4 linked regions of the Notamacropus eugenii genome follow. The main gene of each other region encodes a partner of the protein of the gene in region 4 in a complex. Links are inferred from orthologs where the notes say so. Each region holds a gene or a part of one and is shown on either strand. Other genes may lie near its edges.

Region 1 (7,092 bases), on a different chromosome or scaffold from region 4:
CCCTTCTGGAAGATACTACAAGAACAACACTTCAGTTAGTGTTTTTTGAGACTAACATGAAACGGTTTTCAGTTAAGGCCAAAGAAAGCCTCTCTTTGCTTACAGAACAATCTTAAGCCTCTTGCTTAATGGAATGGTGGATGACAGGTTTGGGTCAGTTAATTTTCCCCAAAGCAGAAAAAGATGTGATATCTGACCCTGGCTCTTCTACAGAAACAACTTGTTGAAAGGAACCTCTAAGGACAGGAAAGGGTAGGAAAACAACTTAAACTTCTAAGCAGGTTGCAAGGGAGAGCTTTTTTCTACTCCAGAATACAAGATGCAGCTAGCACCAATTATCCAGTAATCACTGTTGGTTAAAACTTTGAGCAACATGCTAGTACCAGGCATTGTGCTGGAAAAGATCTTGTTCTCTTTATACCAACTTCTTACTGAATGCAATTAACGTAGCCTTCCTATTCAGTGTTTCAAGGCTATGTCATATTTTCCTAGTGGTTTGATGAAAAAAATAAATAGTTTGATTTTTTTTACTTCCCCCATTAGTGAACTGCTTTTCTTTTTACATCTGGACAATGATATTTTTACCTGGTTCTCAGTGTGTGAAGAATGTATTTATACAGGTATCAGAAACATCACTTACAGCACATATGGAGGAATTGGTCCATTTACACCTAAACTGAATTGTGACATTTATTGGAGGTGTTCATGCCTTCAGGAAGAGCATTAGAGTAGAAATCAAGAAACCTGGGCATCCGTTTTGTGGCATAGACCTGTGCCCTCCTGTGACAGGGGACTGGACTAGCTGGCGATCCTTAAGGTCTTGTTGAGAGATGCCAACTCTGACATTCTCTGAAGTATCTGATCATTAGAATTACTTTGGTTTCAGATAACCAAGATAAATTCCAGTTCTAGTGAAAACACATTTCCTCCCATAAGACTTCATTTCTCTAGGCCTCAAACTCTTCAAATAGAATGAGGGGTTCAAACTAAATTCCAAGATCCTTTCAATTGTAACAGTCTGTTAATCTTAAGGCTGTGTTGAGGCAAGTTTATATTTAAGATGTTCTGTCTGTTGGCTTCCCCTTGCTTCTGGAATCAGAGGGAATTTGAGGTATTTCCATAGTGAACAAGGAAGAGATTGCCAGAGAAAGGATTTGTTGAGGGACTCTTTAGTGTCAGATTATTTGTGTACCCAGCAATGCTGGGCCTACAGGGGACGCCTGATGAATGCTTGTGACTGGGGATAGACCTCTAGGAATATGGCTTTTAGAAAGAATTGTACACTAATAGACCTTAGAGCTTGCCTAGGAAAACTGGGAACCAGAAAGATAAAATAAAAGTTCTCCAAAACTACTAACTACTGGAAATTATTTTGATTAGATACATTTTATCATGTTAAGGAAGAACCTCTCAACACCTATTCTAAATTTTTGTTCTTATTATTAGATGGATGAACATTTTGTATTTTTGTCAAACTAATAAATCCGTGAGGGAGAATTTATGAGGAAACTTGGACAAAAAGAACAAAAAGATGTGAGGGATAATGATCTTTATGTATAATATATAACTCATTAAAATCACAACTATCAAGGTGTTAAGAGTGGATAAATAATTTTATCTTTATAAAAACACCTCATTTTTATAGAATAATGGCAACATGGAATAATGGGTAAAGTGATAATCCGCTGACTGACAGTATTCAAAAAAGAACAGGCCAAATGAAAATTAACTTGGTACAAGTAGATTCAAAGTCTTACATGCGGGTTCAGAATATATCAAGTATAAAGTAGGGAAGGTGTAGTTCCATTGTCTATTCTGTTTAGATCATATCTGATGTATTTTGTATAATTTTGGGTGTTGCTATTTAGGAAAGGGATTGATAAGTTGGAAGATGTTTAGAGGAGGGCCAGCAGGACTATGAAGGGTTTTGAGCTCATGCCATACAATAGCTAGTATTTATACAATGTTTTAAGGTTTGCAAAATAGTTTGCCTTCTCTTTCTCATTTTCTCAACATGGGAGGGTAGGTAGTATTCCTCTGGTTTTACAAAGAAGGAAACTGAAGGGTTATACAACCCTGTCTGAGGCAGGATTCAGACCTGAATCTTCTTGATTCCAAGTCTTAATGTATTAACGTCCTGGAACAAAGGATGTTTAGCTTGGAGCAGAGAATGTTTGGGGCACATGAGAGCTGTCTTCAAGTATCTGAGAGCTGTAATATGGAAGAAGGATTAGATTTGTTCTCCTTGGCCCCAGAAAGAAGGTATTTTTCCCTCTTAATTATATAATTCTCCTGCCTCATTATTGTGATGTCCATGCAGGTGAAGTCCAAGAGGCTTCATGTTTGTCTTAAGATCATCCTAGCTAAATTCAGAGGCTTATCACCATATTGACCATTTTATAAGTGTAGTCAGCACTCGAGCAACTTCACTGGTCCTCAGTTTCCTCATCTGTGAAATGGTGGTTTAGATGCAGTGGGTGGAAGTTGCAGAGGAAATTTAAGGTTGATGTCAGGAAAAACTTGCAAATAATTAGAAATGGCCTCCCTCACAAGGTATTGGATGCCCTCTGATTGGAGGCCATTAGATGACTTGTTATGTAGTAGAGAATTCTTTTCAGATTTGTAAAGTTCTACCTACATTTGGGTACGTAAAGTCTTACATAGGTACAAAGAGTTGACTTCAGCAGGTACAAAGGTAAGAAGACTTGTTTAGATGGCAGCTGTTATAAAAAATATCTTTGGGTTTGCAAATCAGCAGTGTATGTAACCAAAAATGTTAATATAACATTGAGCTGCATTAAAATACCAATAATGTTAGTAGCTAGCAATTATATAGTACTTTTAGATCTGCAAGGTCCCTTACATGTTCTCACTTGATACACTCAACAACTCTATAAGGTAAGTGAAATCTCCACTTTACTTTTTATAGCTCTGTGTGGTCACAGAGGGCAGAACCAGGAGCAATGGGTGACAGCTGGCAAAGAGACAAATTTAGGCTCCGTATTGAAGAAAATCTAAGAAATGGAGCTGTCAAAAAAGTGTGAATTTCTCCTCAGATGCAGAGGCTATCGAATCAAGCTGATCACTTTTCTGATAGTGGAGATTCCTTGCATATATGGGTTGGACTAGATGGTTACTTAGATCCCTTTCAACTCAGGTTTTCTGATTCTGTGATTCATTGACTGATTTATTACTCTTTGGGGCATTCTCAGGCGGGATACTTTTAAGGTTCACAAAGTTACCATCCCTGCACATCCCTGGCTTATATCGATACAAGCATGGATTTTCACACCTTGATTACATGATTCTCGGGCCTTCCCCTTGTGATGTGGATGTGGGCCTGACTCCCATGCAGGTATGGCCTAGAGGGTGCATATTTATAATTAGAGGATCTACTTACCTAAATTCAGAGAGGCTCATTACCATCCTGGCCATTTTGTAAGTGTAGACAGCACTCGAGCAACTTCATTGGGCCTCAGTTTCCTTATCTGTAAAATGAGTTGGACTAGAGGCTCTCTAAGCACCCTTCCAGTCCTAGGTCCTTTATGGGCCTATGCAATGTTCAAGGGAAGTATGGAGTGATGCTGAAACGGCACACGCTGGACCTCACTTTTGATCTGCTCCCCTACCTGGATTCGACTCCATGGTACAAGATAACTTACAAGAAAATCCCCAGTCCTGTCCCAACCCCCGCTTCCCTGCCTCCTTTGTGCGTTGTCAACCCCTTGAGATTGTAAGGGCCTTGAGGGCAGGCACTGGCTTTTAATTAATTGTGTCTTTAGCACTTAGTACAGCGCCTGGCTCATAGTAAACTCCCAATACATATTTCTTGGATGGACTGGATTTAACAATGAAATAAAAATAATGTAATATACGAATAAAATAAATAGCAGACACTAGAAACAGAGGGACCTGTGTTTGAGTCCTTTCCACTAACTGCTTATCTGCCTCTGCCTCAGATAAGTCTCTTCTATCTGGGTCTCTGTCTTTCTTCCCCAAAAGACTAGACAGGTTCAGGATCCGCGCTGAAATCCAACAAACTGTTCAATTACCGGGCTAGTTCCCAGCCCCGCCCACCTGTAGCAGTGCGCATGCGCAGCAGGCTTCGGTTGGCTGCCTCAGCACGAGGCGGGGCTGCTCGGTTTGTGATTGGTTTGCCGGAGCCGATGATGCCAGACGTAAGGTGGCGTCAGTGGCGGCAAGGGGAGCGTGAGTGAAGCCGAGGATTGCACGGGGAGGAGGCGAAGGGCCGCAAGTGAAACAAAATGAGTAAAGCGCACCCACCCGAGCTAAAAAAGTGAGTACGGTGACCTGGCAGTTGGAGGGCCCGGGAGTTCAGCTCAGCCTGCACCGGCTAGTGAGGGAGGCCTGAGGAAGCCGATTAGAGGCTTCTGCTTCCCGGCATGCTCCACGTTCCCGGCCTTCTCTCTGCCCCTGGCCACGTGGGGAGGGGGAGGGGCGCGCGCTCGCGCGCTCTCGGCCTCTTGTGTCTCGCGCTCCATTCATTCTCTCCCGAACAGTGGTTATTGAGGGGCCTCAGGTTTGGGAGGCGATGCTGGGTGTGGCGGATGGATGGACGGATGGATGGATGGATGGATGCATAGATAGATGGATCGCAGGGCCCTTCAGACCTTGCATCTACCACGTTAAGATTCCCTCGGGGCTTTTTTGGAGCCTAAAACAAGTGCTTGGTGATTTGAATCGCCGTGTAATCTATTTGAAAGAATGACATTTAAAACCAGATTGAGTTTAGAGGTAATTCCAGCCACTTTATTTGACAGAAGAGTAAACTGAGGCTCGGAGAAGGACAATGACCTGTCAGAGGTGGTTTAAGTGGAGCCAGATTTCCCACCTTCTCCTTGCTCGTTGGTGTTCTCTTTTTACCTCACACGTTTTGGGGGCATGTTCTTTCTTGTAGCTTTTGGAATGAAACGGTGGAAAGATGGCAGAGTTTAAAGTGGAATGAGTACGCAAGACCTAGTCAGATAGGAAGCAGGCACATCGAAACCAATCCCTTCATTTTACAGATGTGAAAACTGAGGACCAGACCCACTTCTACATAGTGCCATGAAGTACTGCTCACTGTTTCTCTTTTTTTTAAATGTCTTGATCATTTGTCTTAACATTGTCTTTATTTCCCTGTATATCCCACTCCCCATCCCACCCAAGGGAGCCATACCTTATAATGAAGAATGAAAAAGAAAAGTGGGGTGGAGGAGAAAAATCAGGTAAAATAAGTCATTAGACATATTAGAAGAACCTGGAGTGGAATATCATGAAAGCCAAGGGTAGGAAAGATATTGAAGAGGAAGTCAACACTTAAATAGAGGCTTGATCTAGCGGGGCATGCCCCCCAAAAAATGGTTTTGGGAAGTAGGGTACCATTCGTGAACTTTGAGAAAGCCATTTTTGTTAAGTATTTAGGTATGAAAACCAGATTGCATGTGGTTGAGTCAAATTTTAGGCCTTAGAAGTATCCCTTACTTTAAGGACTCAACTATTTCCATCTCCTTTATGAAGCTTTTCTCAGTTCTCCTCAGCTTTCCCCATCTCAATTTTCCTTGTACTGTACATAATGTCTTATTCCGTTGTAGCTAGGTGATGAAGTAGAGGGAACCTTTAACTTGGAGACAGGAAGCCCCAGGTTAAAATCCAACCTTTGTGACCCTGGACAAATCACTTAACCTCTGTCTGCCTCAGTTTCCTCAACTGTAAAACGGGGATCAATAAAAGCATCTGCCTTACAAGGTTGTTTTAAGGATCAGATTAGATATTTGTGAAGCACTTAGTACATTGCCCTGTACACAGTAGGTGGCCTATGTAAATACCTATTTCCTTTTCCCCCGAAAGTTTCTTGAGGACTAGAATCTTTTGTGTATAGTAGATGCTTAATAAATGTTTTAGTGAATTTAGAAAGAATGATACCTGAAGGGAGTAGAAAGATTTAGGAAAGATTTTGTTATTTCAAGATTGGAAACACCTGAGTAGATTTATAGTTAGAGAGGAAGAAGCCTGTAGAAAGAGGTGGTAGTAATATAAGTGCCTTGAAAGCTATTGAACTGGGAGGCAGGTACCCAGTCTTCTGTGTAACTTGGACAAATCACTTTATCTCTGAGCCTATTTCCTCATCTGTAAAATAAAAATATTAGAGTAGATAATCTCTAAAATTAATTTCCAGCTCCAAATGTTAAGAGTCAACAAACTTGTAATAAGTAACCTATTATGTATACATAGTATATTAGAGTTACAGAGACAAAATTGACAGTCTCTGCCCTCTAGGAACTTAGTCTACTAGTAGATACAATGTTAAATAAGTTAAAAACCAATAATTTGAGGAGGAAAAGAGCATTAACAACTGGAGGAATCAGGAAAAGCTTGGTGGAGAAGAGAGCAACTGAGTTGGGTTGAAAGGAAGATGAGAGTTCTGACAGGCAAAGATGAGGCCCTGCATGAGGATGAGGGGCTAGCAAGGGATGACTTGTATGATTGTGTAGAAATGGGATGTAGAATAATAGATGCAGAGAATAATGGGGCATTAGCCAGAAAGTAGAGCACATAAAGGGAAATAATACAAAATGCATTTGAAAAGGTAGGCTATTGACAGCTATAAATTTGCTTGCTCAAGAGTTTGTATTCTAGAGTTAGCAGGGAAATGCTTTTTGAACTGGAGTAAGTCATGTGAAATGCTGAAAGAGCTGGGAGGGGAGAGCATCAAGGACACTTATTCCAAGGGCTTATATATCACCTTGGGGGGAAAGGGAGACTAAGATAGAAAGACTTACTGTAGATAAGTTTTGAGATGTGGAAAGAAAGGGACAACACAAACTTGCATTTATATGATGCTGTAAATTTTGCAAAGCACTTTCATGGGAAAAGGCTCAAAGAGGGCAGATGATAGTTAATGTGCTGGATGAAAACTGGACAGCAGAGAGATCTTGTCAGACTAAAACATGGGGCAGAATCCAATAAGATGAAGTTCTGTAGGGATAGTTATAGTCTTACACTTATAAAGTTAGGGGAGGAGAAGGTTTGAGCTCAAGGCCAGGATAGGGAGAAATGGTTACAGTATCTGGGTTTTTTTAGTGGACTGCA
Region 2 (7,585 bases), on a different chromosome or scaffold from region 4:
ATCCATAATCTTTCCAAAATCACTGAAAGTAGCTCAATCGCATCACCAGTCAGTTCTGTCACCACCCTGGGATGGAGGTCATTTGGCTCTAGTGACTTGAGACAATCAAGGGCAGCTAAGTGCTTTCTTATTATCTCCTCACTGATCTTGGGCTCTGATTTCCTAATAATGATTTTCCCCTTGTCCCTTCCAGTCCAGAGATCATTATCCTTGGCAGAAAAAATGGAGGCAAAGTAAGACTTTACAACTCAGCCTTCTCTGCACTGCTTCTTGTCATCATTCCATCTAGCCCCAAGCAGAGAATTCCACTTTGATACCTCCTTGGAGCTTCCTTCCAGTGTAACCTTGGGCAATAATAGTATTGATAATAATAACTAGCATTTATATAGCCCTGGTTCACACAGCTAGTGAGTGTCTGAGGCAAGATTTGAACTCAGGTCTTCCTGAAAAGAAGTGACCACCTCCCTATCTCAGTATCCCCATATGTAAAAATGAAATGGTTAAAGTTGGATGGTTTTGCAGTCCCTTCCAGTTCTTGTATTCTATGATTCCATCAGGATAACAGCCAGGATAAAAAGATGACACATTAGGCACATGAAGGATCCTGACCTACATGGTGACCCTTGTGTGCTAAGGCTAATGAATCTTAGACTAGTCTCTGGACTCAAGTTCTATGTTAGTAGTAGGATTAAATAATATTTAAGGTCCCTTCCAGCCTGCAATGAGGAATCTATTGGGATCATAGATGGATTATAGAGGACCCTGGTGTGAGGAGACTCAGACCCTTGGGTTCTAGAGCTAAGTGACCTTGGAGAGGAAAAAAAGATCCTAGTATCTTTGGGACTTAGAATTCCTGTGCCTCTCCCCACTCTTCACCCTTCTGTGAGTATAAAGCTGGTTCCTATCTGTTTGTATCATATAGCACTGGTCTCTAGAGTCAAAAGATCTAGGGTTGAAACCAGGCACTCCAACTCACAACCTGGCTCTGTTTCCTCATCTATAAAATATGACAGGGAAGGGGAAGGGGACTAGTGACCTCTAAGGTCCCTCACAGCACCAAGATCCTGGGACCTGGGGGGAGGGGGAGAAGAAGAGACTGTGGGACTCTCTCTAGGACTGTTGGCTGGTCTGACCACAAGGAACCAATATCAATACTTCAAGGGTTAATTATTTCATGAGTGTGGCTATTCCCTTGACATCTTAGTAGAGTTGCTATGACCAAAAATCTCATTGTCTTGCAGCTAAACACAGGATAAGCCTTTGCTAACTTGGCCAAGCCAGTCCATCCCAAGACTTTCCAGCTTGTTGATTATCCCTTGATCTTTTTACCTGGGAGGCAAGATGGAGTTCAGGATCTCTTCAGCCTGCTTGGTGGGGTCTGAGGCAGCAGAAGTAGAAGGGATAGCCTTGCTCTTGGGTGGCTGTGGAACTGGCCCTGTAGCCAATGGCTGCTGTGGGCTGACCTTCAGGGGACGGGCCTAGAAAAGAGGTGACAGAGAAGTTCAGTGAGCTGGTCCTCAGAACTGGCCTTGGGGCAGCCATGGCCCTAGTTCTTTTCCTGTATCCTTTCATTTCCTTCTTCCCACTTTATTTCTCCCTTTCTACCCTCCTATCTTCCTCTGCTATCTCTTCTCATGATATCCCTCTTCTCCTCCTTCCCTCTCCCATGCATCTACCCTCACCTTTTCTTTCCTTCCTCTCTCCTCATCCTACCATCATCTTTTTTCCTTTGTCTATATCCATGTCTGTGGTCCCTCCTTTTGTCCAATTTTCTCCCACCCTCCTTACTTCCTTTTCATTTTTTCCTCTTCCATCCCTCCCACATTCTCTTCCTTCCTCTTTGCTCCTCCCTCCTATAGTACCTTTCCTCTCTTTGCTTCTCCCACTGTCTTTTTTCCTCTTAATCTTCTTCCCTTCCCTCACTCCTCCCAACCACATCTTCCTTTCTCCTTCCCATTCCTCTTCTTGCTTCTCCCATCCTTTCTCTCCTCCTGTTTTACTCTTTCTACTTTCACCTCCTTTTCACTCCTCCCATTATTTCTTTCACTCTCCCTCTCCTCTCTCCTTCCACTTTCATCTTCCTCTTTCTTTCCCTGTTCCCTTCCACACTCTCATCACTTCTCCTCCCGCCCTCCCTCCCTGCAGTCCCCATTTCCAGGCCCTGGATTCTACCTTGGGGCTCCGCTTCTCTGTGTTCCGGCTCACTAACACCGGGGTATCATACTTGAGCAGAGAATCAACTGGAGGAATCATGGTGGCTGCTGCAGCAGTGGCTCCGCAGCCTTGTTTACTGTCACCATGGAAACCGAGGCCCCACCCCCTGTCCCTACCACTCGAGCCCAGCAGCTTGAACCTAGTGGTGGAGGCGGAGCTAGCAGTGGGGCGTGGCCATCGGAGAGCTGTGGGATTGGCTGGCGCCCCACCAGCTCTAAGGTCTTAGCTCAGGTCTGCTGAAAAGAATGCTGGCCTAGGCCCTCCCCAGGAGCCATCAGATGGAACTTCATTTCTGTCACTTGGTTAGCTGTGTGGCCGTGGGCAGGTGATTCTGGGGCACAGAGGATGCTTCTAAGAAAAGTACCCTGTAGAATTTACGAGTGCTATAGAAGTGAGAGCTCTCAATTACCACAGTCTCCTTTACGTTATTCGGCAGGCATTCTTAACTCTGGGTCTGTGAACTTGTTTATTGAACATTTTGATAACTGCATTTCAGTATAATTGCTTTTCTTTATACGCCTGTGTGTTTCATTTCAGGTGGCTGGTGGTACGATGCATAGAGTTAGAAAGACTTGAGTTCCAATCCGTCTCTGACGCTTACTGGCTGTGTGATCTTGGACAAGCCATGTGACTTGTCTGGCCTCAGTTTCTTCATCTGTAAAATGGGGATATTAATTACCTCCCAGGATGGTGGTGAAGAGCAAATGAGATACTTGTAAAACAAATTTGTTAACCTTAAAATGCCATATAAATGCACTATTAATACTTTAAAACATAGACTTTACTTTGTTAAAGGAGTCCTACACACACACACACACACAAATTAAGAACCTCTCTAAGTATCTTCTCCTGTCCTGTTGGAGGCCAAGGCAGGGGACAGAGACCTGGGTTTGAAATTTGCCTAAGACACTTGCTGGTCCACCCTGGACAAGTCACTTCTTATTCATTTACAAATGAAAACTGGTTTTTTTTTCTGTTGCTCTTTTGGAGTTTAATTTGACATGAAATTTCATTTATTTCACATACACACACACACATAAAACCATATATTCCAATGGTTCAGACAGACAACCCTTCCGCAACTTCTGCAGACTTCGAGAGCTGCCTGGGGCACTGAGAGGACTTGCCCAGCGTCCTACCTCCGTTATGTGTGACATTCCATCTTCCCGACCCAAACAAAGGCTGGCCCTTTATTCCACCTGGCTGCTTCTCCCCTTATGACCACCAGAGCTCTTCATCTTCCTTCAGCACTGAACTTCGCAGGACTCAGCCCCCAGTCAGCGCTTAATAAGTGCTCGGGCAATAAAGGAACGAGTCCGGGGCCACGCCTCACCCACGGGAGCCTGTGCCCTCCCTCCATGCCTTCCCCCTGCAGCCTGCTTCTCGTTTACCACTGACAGAAGCGCTGCCATTTCTTGTCATTTGTGGTGCAGCCAAAGTTCCCACGGAGAGACCCTCGGGTGGATTTCTCTGATGTCATGGTCTTCTTCCAAAACGAAGGACGAACCCTGACAGGGTGGATGCTGGCAAGTGAAGACAAAGGTCCCTCCGGGGAGAGAAGGGAGCTTTACCCTGGACGTCCTAGGAAGCAGGCACGGCTTGTTTCGCGGCTCCAGGCAGGACAGTCTAAAAGACCGGAGGTCAGAGGACTGACCGCCCCTGAGGGTGCGAGGCCCCGGTCACGGGTGGGACTCCGTGGTGCCCAAGCCTCCTTCCTCCCTCCTCTCCTCTCTCCTCCCTGGTGTTCACTGAGCACCAGTAGCAGAAGCAGGCCCCGGTGCACACCGGCCTAAAGAAAGGCAAATAAAAGCCTTGGTCCTCTGAGCGCGCTCTGTAGGGGGCAGACCCCGACCCTGCTCGCTCCCTGTCTCCTCGGCCTCTATTCTGACGCCGTCGCCTCCCTTTCCCCAGCAATACGGGGGCGCCACTCTGAACAAGGGCACGTGGGTTCGAATCCTGACTCCTCCGCTCGGAGCCGCGCGACCGTGAGCTGTGACCCGGAATCCGTCCTCCGACCTTACGGGCCGTCACCTTTGCCAGCCCGTTTCCTCCTGTGGAACGTGGGGCGGTGACAGCGCCCGCCTGGGGAGGGTCCGACGAGGGTCTTTGGGGGGTCCGCATCAATCGCGGCTGTTGCAGCCCCGGGGAGAGGTCGAGTGGGCGTGGTGAGGGAGAGGAGGGGGCGGGGACAGGCCAACGGAACTTTTTGTTGGATGGGTGGTTGTTTTGGGGGTGAGGCTTCCCCAGACTTCTCTCGCCTCTTTCGAGAGCGCGATTTTCAGCAGCGCCCGCCAGGGGGTGCGATCACAACGTGACCGCCAGCGGCCCGACTTCCGTTTGGCTGCCGGAAGAAGAATCGAAGCTGCCCCGGAAACGGAAGCGCGGGGTACGCGCTCGGGCCGTCGCTGAGGAGCCCACTGGCCCGGGCCGCGAGGATGAAGGAGGCGAAGCCCGAGCGGGAGCGGAGGCAGCGGAGGCGGCGCCGGCGGCGGCCGGAGGCCGAGGACGAGCCGGCGGCAGCGGCGGGGGACGACGTGCTGGTGCCGGATCTGTCGCTGGTGAAGCAGGAGCGGCGCAGCCCGACCCCCGCGTCCCGCTCGCACCGGCCACGGGCCCGGGCCCGGCGCGGCTCCTCGGGAAGTCCGAGCCCGGCGCCGGACGAGGAGGCGCCGCTGCCGCCCCCGGCCCCGCGAGCCCGCGGCGCTCGTGCCTCCGGCGACCGCGCCGGCAGCTGCAGCAGGTACGAGCCCAGCGCCCCGTCCCCCGGAGGGACGCTGGGTGGTGGCGGCGGTGCCTCCCGCCGCGGGGGTGGGGGTGGGGGATAGGGCCCAGCCCCCTGCTGACTCTGCTTCGTGATCCCCAGAGGCTCTTCCTCGTCGAGCCCCCAGCCAGTCCTGCCTCTTGTAGCAAGTCTTCCCTTAGCCCCTTTCCCAGCTGCGCACACACTCGGGTCCTTTGTAGGACCCTTCCTGCGCCCCTGCTGCCCGTCTGGTAGCTGTGGTGTTGTAGGGACCTGGGTTCTAATCCTCGCCCCGCCATTTACTAGCCTTGGCTGAGGCGAATTCTTTTTCTGGCTCTCGGTTTTCGCATTTGTAAAATAAAAATCCGAGTGCTTGCATCGGTTCTGTTTTTGTCGCTCAGTTGCGTTGGAAGCTTCGTGACTTCCTTGGCGGAGACGCTGGAGGGGTTTTCCTTTTCCTTCTCCAACTCTGCCGATGAGGACACCACTAGGAAGTGTCCGAGGCCGGAGCTGAACTCCCAGATGAGTCCAACGGGCCTTCTCCCCACTTGGACACCTAGCTGCCACGTTAATTGTTAGAGTTATTTTGTGGGTCAGTGGAGATGACGTTCGTAAAGGACTCTCTGGATGTGAGTGATGACTTATAACTGTTCGCTCCCATTATTTTTTGGTCTCAGAATACAGAACTGGACATTGTTGGATTTAATTCAGCGTTTAGGGTTGTTGTGAGGATAGGAATTCGTAGACTGTACAGTATAACTGTAATCTGCTGTTGTTATTCTTACCTTTACCCCCAAGATTTTATACCACTGGTTTTCATCTTTACAGCCCTTTCACTACTAACCTACAGCCTTCACCCCAGTGTTTTGTTAAGATTCTGTGGTTTCCTTGGTATGCGTACCTCTTCTTTTAATACAAGTTGAAGCGTTCCTCCACAATTTAATAGGTGGTTTTTATGAATCGTTGTGGTCAGTCACTTGGCCAGCCTTCTGGTAATGAACCTCTTCAAATTTATCTAGACTGGTCTTCAAGCATCAGACACACAGTCTTATCACCAATGCTGAACTTGAATCCCTTCCAACTAAATACTTTCAGTATAGCCTTCAAAAACTCAGGGCCACGTTCACCCCTGAGGGAAGCATTGGAGATTTCAGTAAAGCAGAGTAATGAGGCTGAGGGGATGGCGTGAGGTAAAGGTTACCAGTAAACTCTTCCTTGAGTTGAGATCTAGTTAAATCCTGAAGGGACCATTCATTTCAGTTAAGTGAAGATGAAGCTATAAAGAAATAAGACACGGTACATGAGGGGATCAGGTTGATAGTGATGAGGGAGGGTCTTAATGAAGAGGTGGCATCTGAGTTGGACCTTGAAGGAAAGAGAGGAAGTTGCAGACAAGTCATAGTCCAGGTATTTAGTCTAACTTAATTTTATAGATGAGGAAATTGAGAGTTCAAGGACTTGCTAATTGCAAAGTATCTTCTGCACCATGAAATCATAGGGGTTTGAGAATTAATTTCATTGCCCTATGTGATTGCTATCTTGCCTCTATCCCACCATTTTTTTGGAGAAGCAGTGTAATATAGTGGGAAAAGCACTGAGTTTAGGATAAGAATATCTTTGTTCAGAGTCCTGGCTCCAGCATTCTGTGACTCTTCTAGGCCGGACCAGCATTGTCTAAGCCCTTTTGAGCTTCAGTTTTATCTGCCAAGTGGGGATAATCATACTATTTGGTTCATGGGGCTGCCACAGAGACAATTTTATAAAATGTATACTGCTGTAGAAATGTGAATTATTCTGATCATACACTAAATGGCAGATCTAAGACAATAATTTGGATCTCCTAATCTGAAGACAGCTTTTGCTACCGTGTGTAGACCTTTTTTCCTTGTGTCCATTTACCAATGCTTGCAAAGTTTTAGTCTTCAACAAACCTATGATAACTCATAGCAGATTAGGCAGGAGATGTCAAAAACTTTTTTCTTTGTGTGAGGGAAATTGGGGTAGAGGTTCAAAGCTTATCCACCAATTCCTATGTGTGTTGTGTTTTCTAAAGATCACCAACCAAAAGGAAAAACAAGTCCTTTGGGAGAAGAAGCAGATCTCCTCGGAGTAAGAGAAGCCGTAGCCCTCACCATTCTGTAGTCAAGGTGAAGCAGGTAATTGCAATTGACACAACTCATTCCCCTAAGTTCTGATCTAAGAATTTCTTCCTACTAGTGTTAGAATATGGACTTTCTTCTTCAATTGGGAAGTGAGCCCCAAGGTTACAGCATTACTTTTATGGACAGAAAAGGGCAGGATATAGACTGGTTTTCACTAAAAGAACTAGTTACTTGAAGAGCTTAGAACATAAATACATATACTATCATCTTTAAGGTTCAGAGCAAGAGTTGGGAGACCCTGGCCATTGCTTGTATTCCATGGCAGGTATTCCATGATGTGCTGTTGGTTCTACTTCTTGGAGAATAAATTATCTTTGGGCAGCTGGTTGTATCTTTCCCTGAGTGGAGCCACTGTCTACATGCTGTAACTCTCTGTCATCTAATTCTTAAATGCACCTCTCATTTCATGAACAGCTTATTACTGTTAGTCTTTGAGGCTTTCAGAAGGTAACTTTAAAAAAAACCTATC
Region 3 (6,377 bases), on a different chromosome or scaffold from region 4:
TTCCAGCTTAGTCTGGTACCTCATGGGCACCAGGCAATCCAAGCCCCCCTCACACTACCCCAGTTTAGCCAGAATGGGGACCAAGCAATCCAAGCCTTCCCTCCTCCCTATGCCTACCCCCCCCCCCCATTCCAGCTTAGTCTGGTACCTCATGGACACCAGGCAATCCAAGCCTCCCCTGCCCTATCCCACTTTAGGAAGAATGGGTACCAAGCAATCCAAGCCTTCCCTCCTCCCTATACCTATTTCTCCCCCTTCCCATGCCCCATTCCAGTTTAGTATGGTACCTCATGGGCTCCAGGCACTCCAAGCCTCTCCCACACTACTCCAGTTTAGCCAGAATGGGTACCAAGCATTCCAAGTCTTCCCTCCTCCCTATGCCTACCCTCCCCCATTCCAGTTTAGTATGGTACCTCATGGGCACTAGGTAATCCAGACCTCCCCATTGTTTCTCATCCGTCCCTCCACCCCCTCCCCAACCCCGCGACACTTGAGTCAGAAATTTCCACTCATGTTAAACTTTGAGAGAGATTTTATTGTTACCATTCGGTAGGTTTAAGTAATGGGGGTTGCACCTTCATCTGAGCTTTCTAAGGGATCGGAGATGACGGCCTTCCCTTCTGCCTGGAATTTTTCTAGCTTGGCAATGAGGTCCTTGGCTGGGTTGAAAACCCCGTTGGTTTGCTGGTCACAGACGTAGCAGCGTTGTGAGGTGCGGAAGTGACTGAGGGCGCAGCTCTCGCAGAAATAATGTTTGCACTTGGTCACCACGGGGTTCCGGAAAGATTGACGACAAATGAAGCACTTGAAAGGCAGGTCCTCCTCATCGCTGCTCACCTCGTAGTTGTCTTCGTCGATGCCCCCATAACGACCCTCGTCCAGCTCGCGCTCGATCTGCCAGCCGTGCTTGTAGTCAGAGCGGTCGTGGAGAAACTTGCAGCTGTCTCCGAAGCCGCAGAAACCGGTTTCCTTGTAGTCTTTGCAGATGTCGGGCTGATAATCCCAGCGCACCGTGGCACGCAGATGTTCAGGAGCACGGATGGGGCCCTTTCTTACCATGCCGGATGAGGCGTTGCCCATGGAAGTGTCTTTGGGTTTCACGTACTTCTGGTAATTGTTGATGCCCCGGTAGATTTTATCATCCTCTTTGCCCCGTCGCTCCTCTTGGATCTTCTGGCTGCGCTCGAAGATGGCTTGTGCATCGTGCTCCTTCTCTGTGTCCAGCTCGTAGACGGCAGTGGCGCCCATGTCCTCGGGGCCCACGGGCTTGGCCGAGCGTGTGGACTTATAGACGACACTCACGGTGGAAGGCTCGCTTTCGTCGTCGCCGCCGCTGCTGCCGCCGCTGTAAGAGGTGGGCGCCTTCTTTTCCCGGTAGCTGCCGCGCGTCTTCTGGATCATGGGGTTGGGGACCAGGCGCTTCTTCTGCCGCCGGACCACCACGTTGCCCTCATCGCTGCTGCTGCTGCTGCCGCCACCTTCCCCCGACGGTTTCTCGAAGGCAGGCCGTTTCCGGCGACTCGCAGTGCCTTTCCGGGCCGACTTCTTGAAAAGGAAGGTGCACACCGGCACAGCCGGAGCTTCAGAAGACAGGTCGTCGGCCATCTTGATCTTTCTGAAACTGCGAAGTTCCGCGATGCCAACGATTCACTTCCTGTCTTGGCGTCACTTCCTGTCGGGAAGAGGCTACTAGCGGGCGGGGCACGGCACGGCGGCGGGCGCTGATTGGTCGTCGCCGCTGATTGGCGGGGTGGAGCGGCGCGGGGGTTGCTGGGACGGGAAGTGACTCATGTCACCTTTATCTCGCGACCGGCGTCGTAACAGTGTCTAAACTGTCTGTGGCCGCGAGCCTCTTCTCGAGATGTGGTTCGAAATTCTGCCGGGACTGGCCGTGATGGGCGTGTGTCTGACGATCCCGGGAATTACCACCGCGCTTATTCAAAAGTACAGCAATGGCGGCAAGGTAGGGCCCCACAAACCTGAGCTGGGACCCGGAGGTGGTCTCCTTGGGCTCCTCAGCCCGGGGGCGGCTCCGAGACTGGAGAAAGGACCCAGAGATCTCGAGCTGGCCTTGAGGCCAATCCGTACTGAGGAGAGAGGGGAAGGGAATTGGCCAGGGTCCTTGCTCTAGAGCTGGAAGAGACCTTAGGGGCTATCGAGTCTAACCTCCTCATTTTACAGAGGAAGAAACTGAGGCCCAGCGAAGGGAAGGGACTTCTTTCAGGTCACCCATAGGATCCTAGAATTAGAACTAGAAGGGACCCAGGGGCCTATCCAATTCAACCCCTCCCCCCTTCATTTTACAGAGGAAAAAACTGAGTCCTAGGGAGGTGAAGTGACATATCCAAGGGCCTACAGGATTCAACCTCAAGTCCTCTGATTCTAAATCCAGTGCCCTTTCCATTAGTAGCTTTCCATCTTCCTCACACAGGTGACATGCCAGAAAGTAAGTCCTTTCTGTTCCAAGTAAAGGGGTATTCTCTTTAGTTTCTGGCCAAAATACCATTTTACTGAGGGAGAAGCTCTGGTTTCCCTTCCTGTAATGTAAATAGAATGTTGGAGGCAACACTTGGTTGCCTGAGAAAATGAGAACCCCCTTTTTACAGAGATAGGGGATCTGAGGCAGTGAAGTGAATAAATAGAGTACTGGGCATGGAGTCAGGAAGACTTGAATTCAAATCTCATCCCAGATACTTATTATTTGTGTGACCCTGGGCAAGTCACTTCACCCCTGCTAGCCCTGGTTCTGCATTTGTAAAAGTGAGGTAATAGTAGCACCTACCTCCCAGGCTTGCCATTGAGGATCAAATGAGATAATATTTCTAAAAGAGCTTAGCCACTTTTCCTGGCACATAGTAGGAATTGTATAAATGCTCATCCCCTTTTTATCTCCCCTCCCTCACTATGAGTGTGGAGCATTTGCTATACTTATTGTTAGACTTAGATATGTGAGTTTTTGCCAATATGCTTCTTCTTTCCCTCCTGTTCTCTTTTATAAGGGATAGCTCACTAGGTAGAGGTGGAGGTTGGGGGACATTCAGAAATGAAAGTGATATGTAAATATATAATATTCATATCTATATAAATGTGTAAATTATTTTTTAAGTAAAAGAAGACAGCTGAAGGGCTCTTAGTAATAGCAAAGGAGCTCCTGAGCTGGCTGTGGAAGGGAGTGGGAAAATCACGGGAAGATACAAAGAAAGTGGCAAGAAGAAATAGAGATTAAGATAGAGAGGTTCAAGGCCAAATGGAAAGGAGAGAATCCATCTACTTCCCACAAACTATATTCACTCCATTTATTCAGCAGACGGTTATTAAGCTACTGTGTACAGGGGCCAATGCTAGGTGCTGGGGATACAGAGATGAGTCAGATACTAGACCTACCCTTAGAAGGGATCACAGTTAAATAACAACAGATGTCATATAATCTACAACGTCTATTGAGAGGGTGGAATGGTGTAGTGGATAGGGTACTGGACTTGGATTCTAGAAGACCACTGGTTCAAATCCTACCCAAAATATCTTCTATTTCAGGCCTTTCCTTGTCCCTTTTAGCTTTTGTTACTGCCTCATATATAATATAGTTGATAGGTGAGAGTCTAGGGTGGGTTGTATATGTGCATGCTATTTCTCTCAGAATGTGAGCTTTTCCAGAGCAAGAACTGTTTTATTTGAAAACACAGCACAATACCTAGCACATAGTAGGTACTTTATAAATGCTCATTGATGGACTGATAGACACCATAATGGAAAGAGTGATAGAATTAGTGGACTTGGGTTCAAACCCTTTCTCATACATTTCCAGTGAGGGAAGGCAAGTGACCTAATGACTCAGGCTCTCAGGTTGTTCATCTGTAAAATGTGGATAATAAAGACTAAAGCATTTAGCCTATCTCACTGTGGTTCCAATGAAACCGTGAAGCTTTAAATGTAGTGTTCTTACCGGTCTGCAGGAGGATGTTACTCAATTAGGGAGAGTCATGGGATTTTAATAGACAATGGTGGGCATGAATGGATATCATTGGTTCAGAGTAGAAGTTGTGGAATATAGACAGAAGACAGTACAGCAAGATCTTCCTCAGAAAGGCCCGAGTTCCAATCCACCCTCAGACAGTAACATGCTAAATAACCCTGGGCAAGTCATTTCACCCTCTTTGCCTCAGTTTCCTCATCCATAAAATGGACATAGTAAAGAATGTATGTAAAGTATGTATCCTATCTCACTGAGGTTCCAGTGAAACATTGAAGCTTTAAATGTGATATTTTTTCTGCTCTGCAGGAGAATGTTTGTCAATTAGATAGAGTCATGGGATTTTAATGGACAAGGGTGGGAATAGGTGGGTATCATTTTTTTTCAGTCGATGCTGTTGGTCATGGACAGAAGAGAGTAGGGGAAGAACTTCCTCAGAAAGATTTGAGTTGCAATCCAGCCTCACACACTGATTAGCCTAATAACCCTGGGCATGTCATTTTACCCTCCTTGCCTCAGTTTCCTCAACTCTAAAATGAGCACAGTGATGACCAATGGATTTGACTTATCTAACAGGGTTGCCAGTAAAACGTTGAGGCATTGAGTATAATATTACTTGTATCCTGAGGTCAAATCCAGTCTCAGACACTCACTAGCTAAAGGACCCTGGTCAAGTCATTTCACCATTCTTACCTCACTTTCCTCATCTGTAACACGGCCTACTAAAGACTAATGCATTTATCCTTTCTCACTGGGATGCCAGTGAAACCTTGAAGCCTTAAATGTCATATGATTTTTGGTCTGCAAGGGGATGATTCTCAATTAGGGAGAGTCATGGGATTTTATTGAACAAAGGAGGGGATTAGAAGGGCATCATTTCTCGGGTGCCAAAGCTATAGGTTAGGGACAGAAAAAAGTCCAGGGTGAATTTCCTCTGGAAGACATGATTTCAAATCCAGCCTCAGAAACTCAGTAGCTAAATGACCCTGGTCAAGTCATTTCACCCTCTTTGCCTCAGTTTCGTCATCTATAAAATGGGCCCAGTAAAGAGTAATTCACTTGTTGAGAGTAGAAGCCGTATGTTAGGGGCAGGAGACAGTAGAGAAAGAACTTCCTTAGAAGGATTTGAGTTCAAATCCAGCCTCAGACACTGAGTAGCTAAATAATCCTTCACATGTCATTTTACCCTCCTTACTTCAGTTTCCTCATCTCTAAAATGGGCATGGTCAAGGCCCATGCATTTACTGTATCTCATGGGATTGCAGTGAAATGTTGAACCATTAAGTGTAATATTATTTGTGACATGCAGGGTGGTGTTTCTCAATCTGGGAGAATCATGGGATTTTAATGGAAAATGTGGGAAGAGAAGGATATCATTTCTTGGGTGCAGAAGCTGTGGGTAAGGGACAGAAAAGAGTTCTAGAAAAATTTCCTGTGGAAGATCCGAGTTCAAATCCACCCTAAGTCACTTACTACCTTCGTAGCCCTGGGCAAGTCATTTCGGCCTCTTTGCCTCAGTTTTCTCATCTGTGAAATGGGCATAGTAAAGACTAATGCATTTCTCTTTTCTCACTGGGGTGCCAGTGAAACCTTGAAGCCTTAAATGTCATATTATTTTTGGTCTGCAGGGGGATATTTCTCAATTAGGGAGACTCATGGGATTTTAATGGACAAAGGTGGAAATAAATGGGTATCATTTCTTGGGTGCCAAAGCTGTAGCTTAGGGACAGAAAAAAGTCCAGGGTGAATTTCCTCTGGAAGACGTGAGTTCAAATCCAGCCTCAGACACTCAGTAGCTCAGTGACCCTGGTCAAGTCATTTCACCATTCTTACCTCAGTTTCCTCATCTGTAAAATGGGCACAGTGAAGAATAGTGCATTTGTCCTAACTCACAGGCTTCCCAGTAAAACTCTGAAGGATTAAATATACTATCCTGTGTCCTGTGCAGGATAGTGTTTCTCAAATAGGCAGCATCATGGAATTTTAATGGACAAAGGTGGGAATAGAAGGGCATCATTTCTTGGATGCAGAAGGTATGGGTTAGGGAAGGAAAAATGTCCGGGAAGAATTTCCTCTGGAAGACCTAAGTTGAAATCCACCCTAAGCCATTGACTGTCTAAATAACCTTGGTCAAGTCATTTCACCATTCTTACCTCAGTTTCCTCATCTGTGAAATAGGCATAGTAAAGACTAATGCATTTATCCCTTCTCACTGGGGTGCCAGTGAAACCTTGAAGCCTTAAATGTCATATTGTTTTTGGTGTGCAGGGGGATGTTTCTCAATTAGGGAGAATCATAGGACTTAAATGGACAAAGGTGGGAGTAGGTGTCTATCATATTTTGCTAGTGGAACCTGTGGGTTAGGGACAGAAGACAGTAGAGGAAGACCTTCCCCAGTCTGATGTGT
Region 4 (7,925 bases):
AAGGTGGGGAGTGGGCAGCTCATCACTGCCATCTTCTCCATCAGAATCCTTGTGTTTGAACAAAGCACTTTCTTCACACTCCTTAATGTTGTTACTTCCTGTCCAGATTGTACCCATTTTACACAGGAGGTGACTGAGACTACTAGAGGCTCAGTCTTCATCTCTCTTGATGCTCCCCAGAGATCTGTCAGGTGCTCTGCTCCCATTCCAGACATCACAGGAAAACTCAAACTCTGTCATCCCCTTCCCAAATGGCCATCCAAACCCACAGCTCCTCCTCTTCCTCTTTCTCCACTCAATTTCGGTCCTGGAAGAGGTACGTAGCCTGCATCCTTGATCCTGGCCATTTCCCTGCCTTCGATCTCTAGCAGTGCTGGTCTTAGGGGCTGCTTCCCAGACCTTAGCTTTGCCCTCTGGTAGAGAGACCCTATGGTCTTTGAGGGCAGCTAGGCCCTTCAGAGAGTCTGTTGACCCAGCATTGGGGACAGCTGCCCTTCATCGCCCTTGAGTGGTTGGCAGAGTCCCTGTCTTTATCAGTATTTCCCTCTGCCTGGTGTGGGCAGAGAGCCTGGAACTAGAGGCTGGGCACAGAACTGAGTCTACGGAGGGCCCTGAAATGGGTGGACCCAGGCCATGCCCACAGAGGTACCCAATCAGGAGTGGAATTCCATGACAGCTCTTGTTAGGACCACAGAGGAATTATCAGAGAAGAGAAAATGATGTGAAGTTCTTGAGTTTCTGTCACATCTTAAGCTCTGGCAGCTGTCCCCACCCCACCCTCATCCCCATTGTACTGCCAGGCCTCAGTTTCTCCAGCTCTAGGCTGTATATTTTGCTCCTACTATCTGGATTCCCAGGGAGGCTCAGGTTACCCGGAGCTGGGACATATCTTCAAGAAAGGAACCGGTTATGCCTGAGCTCAACTTGATAACAAGGGGAGGGGCCCAGGATCAACTCCCTGCCTGTCTCCCTTAGGTCTGGCTTCTCCCCTTCCCTGCCCCCCACCCAGCTTTTGAAATCTCAGTCCTGAGAAATGCCCCGAGAGGGAAAAGCATTACCTATGGGATGAAAGCATAGGATTCAGAGATGGAAGACATCTCAGAGATCATCCAGCCGAAACCTCTCATTTTACAGATGAGGAAGCTGAGGACAAGGTGACAGAGAAAATGAGAGGCAGAGCACATATTCCAAACCCAGTCCTGGGACTACAAGTTCACACTCTTCCCATTACATTGGCATTCAGAGCCAGTGGGGAAGAAGGTAAATGCAATTCTCACAAGTCATTCTTGGAGGGGGACAGAGGTAGGTATGTGCTGGGTCATTGTAGGAAACACCTAATGGCACTCACAATCTGCCTCCCAGATGGCTCCCATGGATGTTTGGCATAGCAGGGAAAACCTTGGGTCTGGGTTCTGATCTTGTCCGTGTCATGTTTGGACTTACTGCTGGTAGAAACTTGACTGGTGACCCCACCTTTCTGACCTCAGTTTCCCCATCTGTAAAAGTGAGGGGTTTGGGCTAGACTATGCCTGAAGTCTCTACCAGCTCTCACTGCTATCATCCAGATAAGGCGGTGGCTGCTGTGTGGAGGACTTGCAGGAACGGGGAGGCTGGGCCTAGGGAGAAGAGAAGGGCCATTGTTCAGAGGGCCATCTCAGGCAAGGCCTGGGTGGGGCTGGAAAGGGTGGGCACCAGAGCTGGGCTCTGAGGGGGGACAGGACAGCACAGGTCGAGCCAGGGCAGACCAGAATAGAGCTGGTCTCAGTGTCCATGCTTCACAGCTCTCCCTGGAGGGTCTGGCTTTGGCCCTATCTCCTTTCAGCTCCTGAATGTGCCTGGCCCAGGAAGAGTGGGGCAGGCTCAGACAGCTCCCCACAGACAATTGAGAGCAGTGTTGTCCTGAATCAACTCTTCCTGCCCTCCCCTCTGGTGCCCGCCTTGGGAATTTCTCCACTTCCTTCTCTCTAGGGACCTAGGAGTCTGGCCCTCCTATCACGAGGAGTCTGGCAGGCTCACAGCCAGGGACACTGCGCTACCAGTGGGACTTGGAGGAAGTCACTGCTTTTCTCTGGCCTCAGTTTGCTTCTCTGTTTGGTAAGAACAGCAGGTCATCTATGGAAGCTCATATGCTACAGCAGTCTGTAGATGGCATAAGGATGCCTGAGCCCCAAGGTCCCACAGCTTGTGTTGGAAGGCAGCTCCCTCCTTTCTCCTTCCCTCTTTCCATCTTTCCTTCCTCCCTCCTTTTCCCTTCTCCCTTCTTCCCTTCCTGGAAGGAGCAAGCAAAGTAGGATTTTTTTGCTGTTTTTTTGGATTGAGTTGTAGCCAATCAAATGCTTTTGATTGAATCCGGAGTCTTTGGAAACAGCATATAACTAATTCACTCACTTAGTATTGAATTGCTTGGAGGGAGAAGAGAGAGGAGAGAGAGGAACAGACCCGAGAGAGAGAAGCAAGTGGGAGCAGACCAGGGGAACAGAAAGAGTGTTTGCGATGTCCTCACTCCCTCTCTTGATCCGTGTTAATTTCTCAGACAGAAGCCCTGTCCTGTTGGTCTTTATGAGTGAATTGAGCTGAAGAGCTGAGATCTGCCCATGGAAGGAGGCTTAGCTTAAGCCCCTTTTAAGAGCTGTTAAGGTGAATTGAGATGATGGGGTTGGTAATGTGTATAAATATACATTGTCATAGCCTTGTTAAACATTGTTTTCCTAGAAACAGAAGCTGCAGGAAGGAGCCCCTGGAGCCAGCTGTCAGGCAGAAGCAGGAAGAGTTAGGAGTGGAACAGTTCCCATGAGCTGAGGCAAGGAGCAGGAGCAGAGAGCTTCCTATGTGTGAACCCAGGCAAGAGCTGGGAGTGGTCCGTGCCCACAGAGGAGGAGCCACAGGGTTTGGAGGTCAGCCTTCAGTCAAGATGAGAGAGGACTTTACTTGAACACTGTGTATTGATTAAGGACACTGTGACCTGGGGGTGGATGCCTTGGTATTTTCTGTTATCCCTTAAGGGTGAGTCATACTAGGGAAGACCCTAGCCTGGGACCCCCGACTTTGGGGATGCAGCGATATGCTCTGTGTCATGACATACCGACTGTTAGGAGATACATACATACATATATATATAGTAGACGATATGTTTTGTTTAACGACCTTTCTATGCTTTACTCTATTGTGTTAACCTGAAAACTTGGTTAAAGAAAAACATCAGACTAAAGGCATGCGTTATTAATTAATTAATTAATTCCCTCTTAAAGATAACAGTCATAGCACTATGGAGTCAGAGGTGACTCTGACTATCTAGTACAGAAATCATCTGTCTTAAGTACATTTTGCCATGAGAAAGAAACTCTCCTAATTAAGCAAATCATAAATTCAGTAAGACAGGACAATTAACAAAGCAATGTTAGTCAGGCCTTGAGATTCCAAGCTGGGTAAGCATATGTCTCGGTGATAAGGAAAGAAACCCCACCACTAGTAAGTGGGAGGCTTCCTCCCTTAAACAGATAATTGACATAGGAAAGGGTAAACAATGTTCAATAGAAATTACGACCTAAGATGTCTATTTTTTCTTTATCATTAATATGCCATAACATAGTATATGTCTATAGATCAAAGGAAAGTCCCATTATTCATAACATAGTATGTATGTGTCTATAGATCATAAGATTCAAGGAAAGTCCCATTATTCAAGATATAGTGTCTTAGGTTAAAGGTCTCCTTAAGGAATGTAGAGTCGCCTTGGCTGGCTTTTGCTGACATAGGAAAAGGCACTCTCTGAGTTTACTTCAGAGAGAACAAAGAGATTACTCCAAAATTTTATATTAAACATTATCAATTGAACAGTTTACTTCATCGCTGAGTAAATAGTTCACTAAACTATGATTTCACAGCTTAAGTCCTGAGGCGCTGTTGTGACTGATGTTACATCCCCTCCCTCTTTCCATAACCTGGGCTCGGTTCAATGGAATCACCTTCGAGGGGCCTTTGGATCAAGTTCAGTTTGCCCAGAGAGAGGGGAAGGGCTCCCCCCTCTTCCTTCTCTTGGACCCCGCCTCGGGGCAGCGGCCGAAGGCGGTCTCCAGCGGGGCTGGGGTGCCGGAGCCACGATTGCTGGGGGGAGCCCGGGAAGCCGGGGTGCCTCCGGTCCCTCCCCCCCATTTGTGGGCATTGTACTTGTTGAAGTAGATCTGTATGTAAACGCTCGTCTGCGGGGCTGACGGAAGGGGGTGCGGGCCCCCCGACAACCACGCAGTCAGCGCTTGCTGCCTCGGCGAGCACGATCCGGGAAGATGCTGAGCGCTGCTGGACAGAGCGCCTCGTGGCGCCTCCGCGCAACTACCACCTCCTGCCGGGAGGGGCCGCTGTGGATCAGAGTTACCGACCAGGCCCCCCTCCCCCGCCCAGGCAAACCCGGGGGAAGTGACTTGCCCAGGGTCACAGGGCAGGTCTGAGGATGATTCGAATCTGCCTCCAGGCCTCCCGACCATGGGCCTCAATGTCCTCATCTGTCCAGCTCTAGGGTCCCATGACGCTGTCTGGCGTGATACTCCACACCCCTGGTCCCTCACTTCTCCCCAGAAAGGAGAAGCAACAGCCCAGTTCTGACAATGGCTCTTGGAAACGGTGGGGAACTACATTTCCCATGGGGCAGCGGGACCGCTTCTTGGCAACGGCTTGACGTAGGGGCCCGTCTTCTCTTCCCCTGGTTTCGATCCACAACTCCCAGAAGGCTTAGCCACGAACCAGACCCCTTTCCGCATGCGCCTCGCGGATTTCCCCGACTACGCTTCCCGGCGTGCTCCACGAAGCCGCCCTCCCTCTCTGCATTTCTATTGGCTGTTCCCATCCCGTAGGCTCGGCTCCTATTGGTCGCCTCCGGAAGTTCCGGCAGGCCGTAGCTCTTCAGTCCCCTGGGCCGCGCGCCTTCTCGCCGCTAAGATGGCGGCGGAACATCCCGAAGCGCCTAAAGGTGAGCTTCAGCTGCCGCCGCCTCCGCCGCCGCCCCCCCCGCCGCCCCCGCCGCCGGCCCCCTACGGCGCCTGGGCCGCGCCCGAGCTGCAGGCCAAGCTGGCGGAAATTGGAGCCCCCATCCAAGGTGAGCCTTCCGGCGCCGAGGCCCGTGAGCCTCGCGAGGAGGCCTGGGGCCCGCGGGGGAGCTGAGGAGACCTCGGGGCTGGGGGGCGTGGTGGGGAAATCGAGGCGGGGGAGCCCCCATCTCTGGATCGGGGCCCAGGGGAGGTGGGGGGGGAGCTTCGGGGAGAGTTCAGTTAAACGCTTCTGGCGGGCCTCGGCCCAAGCCCGGAGCCCCCTAGTGTCCCGGGTCCGAGGGGGCAGGGGGATGGGCCGTGTGGTGCGTTCGGGGGACCGTCCCCCGAAGAGGCTCATGGGATCGGTGGGCGGAGAGGAGGGGGTCCATGGCCAGGCCCTCTTGCGAGCCCCGGGGTGGGGGGCCGATCCCGGGGAGCCGGGGGTGGAGGGAGAGTCGGCAGGATTGGGGGTATCCCTCCCCCAGGGCTGCGCTCTGGGGTCTGAATGCTCCCGGCCCTGTTTGTGCGGGGAGCGGGACCGGATAAGAAATGGGTGCCGAGTCCTGCGGGAACACCACCGGCCGGGCCTCCTGTACTCCCCACTTGTCCTGGTTCCCGGGGCGAGCGAGAGCGTTATAAGGAGCCCTGGCAGACATCCACAAAGCCGGACACCCGGGCAGAGGGTTCAGAAGAGAGGCAGATTTGGGAAGGAAACCCCTGGATTCAGATCCAACCCGACGGACGCTCACTGGCTGTGTGACCCTGGCCAAGTCACTTAACCTCTGCCTGCCTCAATTTCCTTACCTGCAAAATAGGGATCCTAACAGCACCTACTTGGCAGGGCTGTTGTGAGGACCGGAGCGCCCACTCAGTGCCGGGCACACAGTAGGTTCCCCATATAAGAAAAGCAGGCTCTCAGCACTTAACAAGGATTACTGATAGGAATGTATCCACCTGGAAACCTGCAGATCTAATTCAAAGAACTCCTAAGTCGAAAAGGATGGGGAAGGCCGAACCTGTCCATAGAGAGCCGTGGCCACACCTGGACTTGGCCAGTGATCCAGTCTGTGCCCTCAGATCTCTCTACAGAAACGTCTAATGTTGGCATAGCAAGTAAGATGAGCTGGGTGCTGCAGTGGAGAGACTTACCCGACCTGGAGTCAGGCCTCAGACACCTACAGCTGTGAGCCTGGGCGGTCATTTATCCTTTGTTGGTCTCTGTTTCCTCTTCTGTGAGATGAGAATCCTAATTCCATCTGCCTGCCAGGGTTGTGAGAGGTTTGCAGAACCTTTAAGCATTGTCTGCTTGTGGCTGTTGTTGGCATTGTGGCAGGTTTGACCTCAGCCTTGGTAGGATGGGACCTCATGACTGGCAGTATGGTTCAGAAGAGGCAGGCTAGGCCCAAAGCTAGCAGTGGTGGAGTGGCCTGATTGAGAAGGTAGACTCATGACTGGAAACCGAGAAACCGAGGGATGGGGAAGCCCAGAGTCAGGCAGGATATTGTCCGCAGAGTAGACAGCGCACGGGAGATCCATTTATTTGCATGTATTCTGGAGCATTGTTTTTTTTCTAGGAGCCAAACAGCTATTTGTTGCTTTGTGATAATACTACTCATCTAAAATAGACCAGTTTGTTTCTGGGTCAGATTTTTAGTAACGAGGAGGTTCACCCAATTTTGGGGGGTGGAAGTGATATGCTTGAGAGGAGGTGTCCAGTCCATCTTGGAACATGTATTTGAGATGGCAGGGACAGCCAAGGATGGTCTGCTGGGCACTCTGGGTCTGAGGAGGGCAGATTCTGGCATTGGGCATGCGTGGGAGATGCCACATCTGACAAATGGACTTCTGAGCCCCCAGAGAAGTCTTTTCTATGAGGAGCTGAAAGGGAAGTTGTGGGGTCAGTGGGGCCCTCTTAGAGGGACATCCACTGCCTGATTTAAGACAGTGGAAGCCCCCAGGGGACTGAGAAGAGCCACAGCACAGCAGGCGCCCGAGCTCAAAGCTGTGAGGCTGGTGAAACTCTTAAGTAAAAGTGATGGTGTTGGGGCAGACAGAGCAGTGATGACAGAGGAAGGAGACAGGGTGGATTTTGCTGCATTTGAAAAAAGATGGCCATTTTCCATATTGTAGGAAAAGCAGAAATCTGTTTTCTTAACTATGATACGATCAGAGGGCTTTGGGGCTGTCTGGCCAATCAGAAGCATCATGAAAGGTTCAGTCTCTTGGCACTGGAGCGCCAGGACAGTGATTCGGAGAGCCTAGCGGCTTGCACTTCTAATCACTGCCCAGGATCAAGGCAGAGATGGTGGGTGGTGCCAGTTTACAGGTGAGATTGCTGTAAAGAAGAGCCAGACTATCGAATGATCGTGGCAGGCCAGAGCGTTGGGCCGAATATGACGAGATGAAATTTAGTGGCGATAAATGTAAAATCGTAGCCCTGGATTCAGAAGAGCAGGTGCACCAAAACTGGATGAGGAATACATAAAAAAGGGCCTTGGGGCTTTGATGGGTTAGCTGGACGGTGTGGCAGCCCCAAGAGCCAGTGTGACTGCTGGGTCTTAATGAGAGGGGCAGCCTGCTTGCTGGGCTTTGTCTAGGTCAGGCTAAAGGAGAGGGTGCAAAGGAGGGCAGCCGGGAAGGGGAAGGCCTTCGAGTTCATGCACGTGAAGTCTGTTTGAAGAAGGTGGCCAAGGGGGTCATTGGGAGGAAGGACTGTTAGACTTCTTGACTGACCCCAGAGAGCAGAACCTGGAAGGTTCAAGAAACAAGTTTGGACTTGATGTGGGAGGTGTTGATTTGATTAATTGTTAGTTGATGAATTCTTCCTCATCTAAGGTAGATAAGAACTTACTTGTTGGGGATGTTCACATGGTCCTCTAGGGCTTCACATGTGGCTCTTTGAAT

The links.
Region 1: SF3B2 (region 4) and SNRPG share a complex: the UniProt entries of both Homo sapiens proteins name them as parts of the minor spliceosome. The link is inferred for Notamacropus eugenii from reciprocal best matches to the Homo sapiens genes SF3B2 and SNRPG.
Region 2: SF3B2 (region 4) and SNIP1 share a complex: the UniProt entries of both Homo sapiens proteins name them as parts of the minor spliceosome. The link is inferred for Notamacropus eugenii from reciprocal best matches to the Homo sapiens genes SF3B2 and SNIP1.
Region 3: SF3B2 (region 4) and RNF113A share a complex: the UniProt entries of both Homo sapiens proteins name them as parts of the minor spliceosome. The link is inferred for Notamacropus eugenii from reciprocal best matches to the Homo sapiens genes SF3B2 and RNF113A.

The regions. Positions count from the first base shown.
Region 1 is NC_092872.1:631,381,446-631,388,537, reverse strand, and holds the start of SNRPG (small nuclear ribonucleoprotein G), read left to right. Parts: upstream 1-4,084; 5' UTR 4,085-4,265; coding exon 4,266-4,297; intron 4,298-7,092. UniProt on the Homo sapiens protein: Plays a role in pre-mRNA splicing as a core component of the spliceosomal U1, U2, U4 and U5 small nuclear ribonucleoproteins (snRNPs), the building blocks of the spliceosome.
Region 2 is NC_092876.1:81,740,481-81,748,065, forward strand, and holds the start of SNIP1 (smad nuclear-interacting protein 1), read left to right. Parts: upstream 1-4,568; 5' UTR 4,569-4,649; coding exon 4,650-4,954; intron 4,955-7,007; coding exon 7,008-7,110; intron 7,111-7,585. Other genes in the region: DNALI1 (axonemal dynein light intermediate polypeptide 1), read right to left, coding at 1,330-1,478, 2,173-2,253. UniProt on the Homo sapiens protein: Required for pre-mRNA splicing as component of the spliceosome. As a component of the minor spliceosome, involved in the splicing of U12-type introns in pre-mRNAs. Down-regulates NF-kappa-B signaling by competing with RELA for CREBBP/EP300 binding.
Region 3 is NC_092879.1:43,546,172-43,552,548, forward strand, and holds RNF113A (E3 ubiquitin-protein ligase RNF113A), read right to left. Parts: upstream 1,696-6,377; 5' UTR 1,606-1,695; coding exon 556-1,605; 3' UTR 515-555; downstream 1-514. Other genes in the region: NDUFA1 (NADH dehydrogenase [ubiquinone] 1 alpha subcomplex subunit 1), read left to right, coding at 1,862-1,963. UniProt on the Homo sapiens protein: Required for pre-mRNA splicing as component of the spliceosome. As a component of the minor spliceosome, involved in the splicing of U12-type introns in pre-mRNAs. E3 ubiquitin-protein ligase that catalyzes the transfer of ubiquitin onto target proteins.
Region 4 is NC_092873.1:18,739,840-18,747,764, forward strand, and holds the start of SF3B2 (splicing factor 3B subunit 2), read left to right. Parts: upstream 1-4,917; 5' UTR 4,918-4,932; coding exon 4,933-5,089; intron 5,090-7,925. UniProt on the Homo sapiens protein: Component of the 17S U2 SnRNP complex of the spliceosome, a large ribonucleoprotein complex that removes introns from transcribed pre-mRNAs.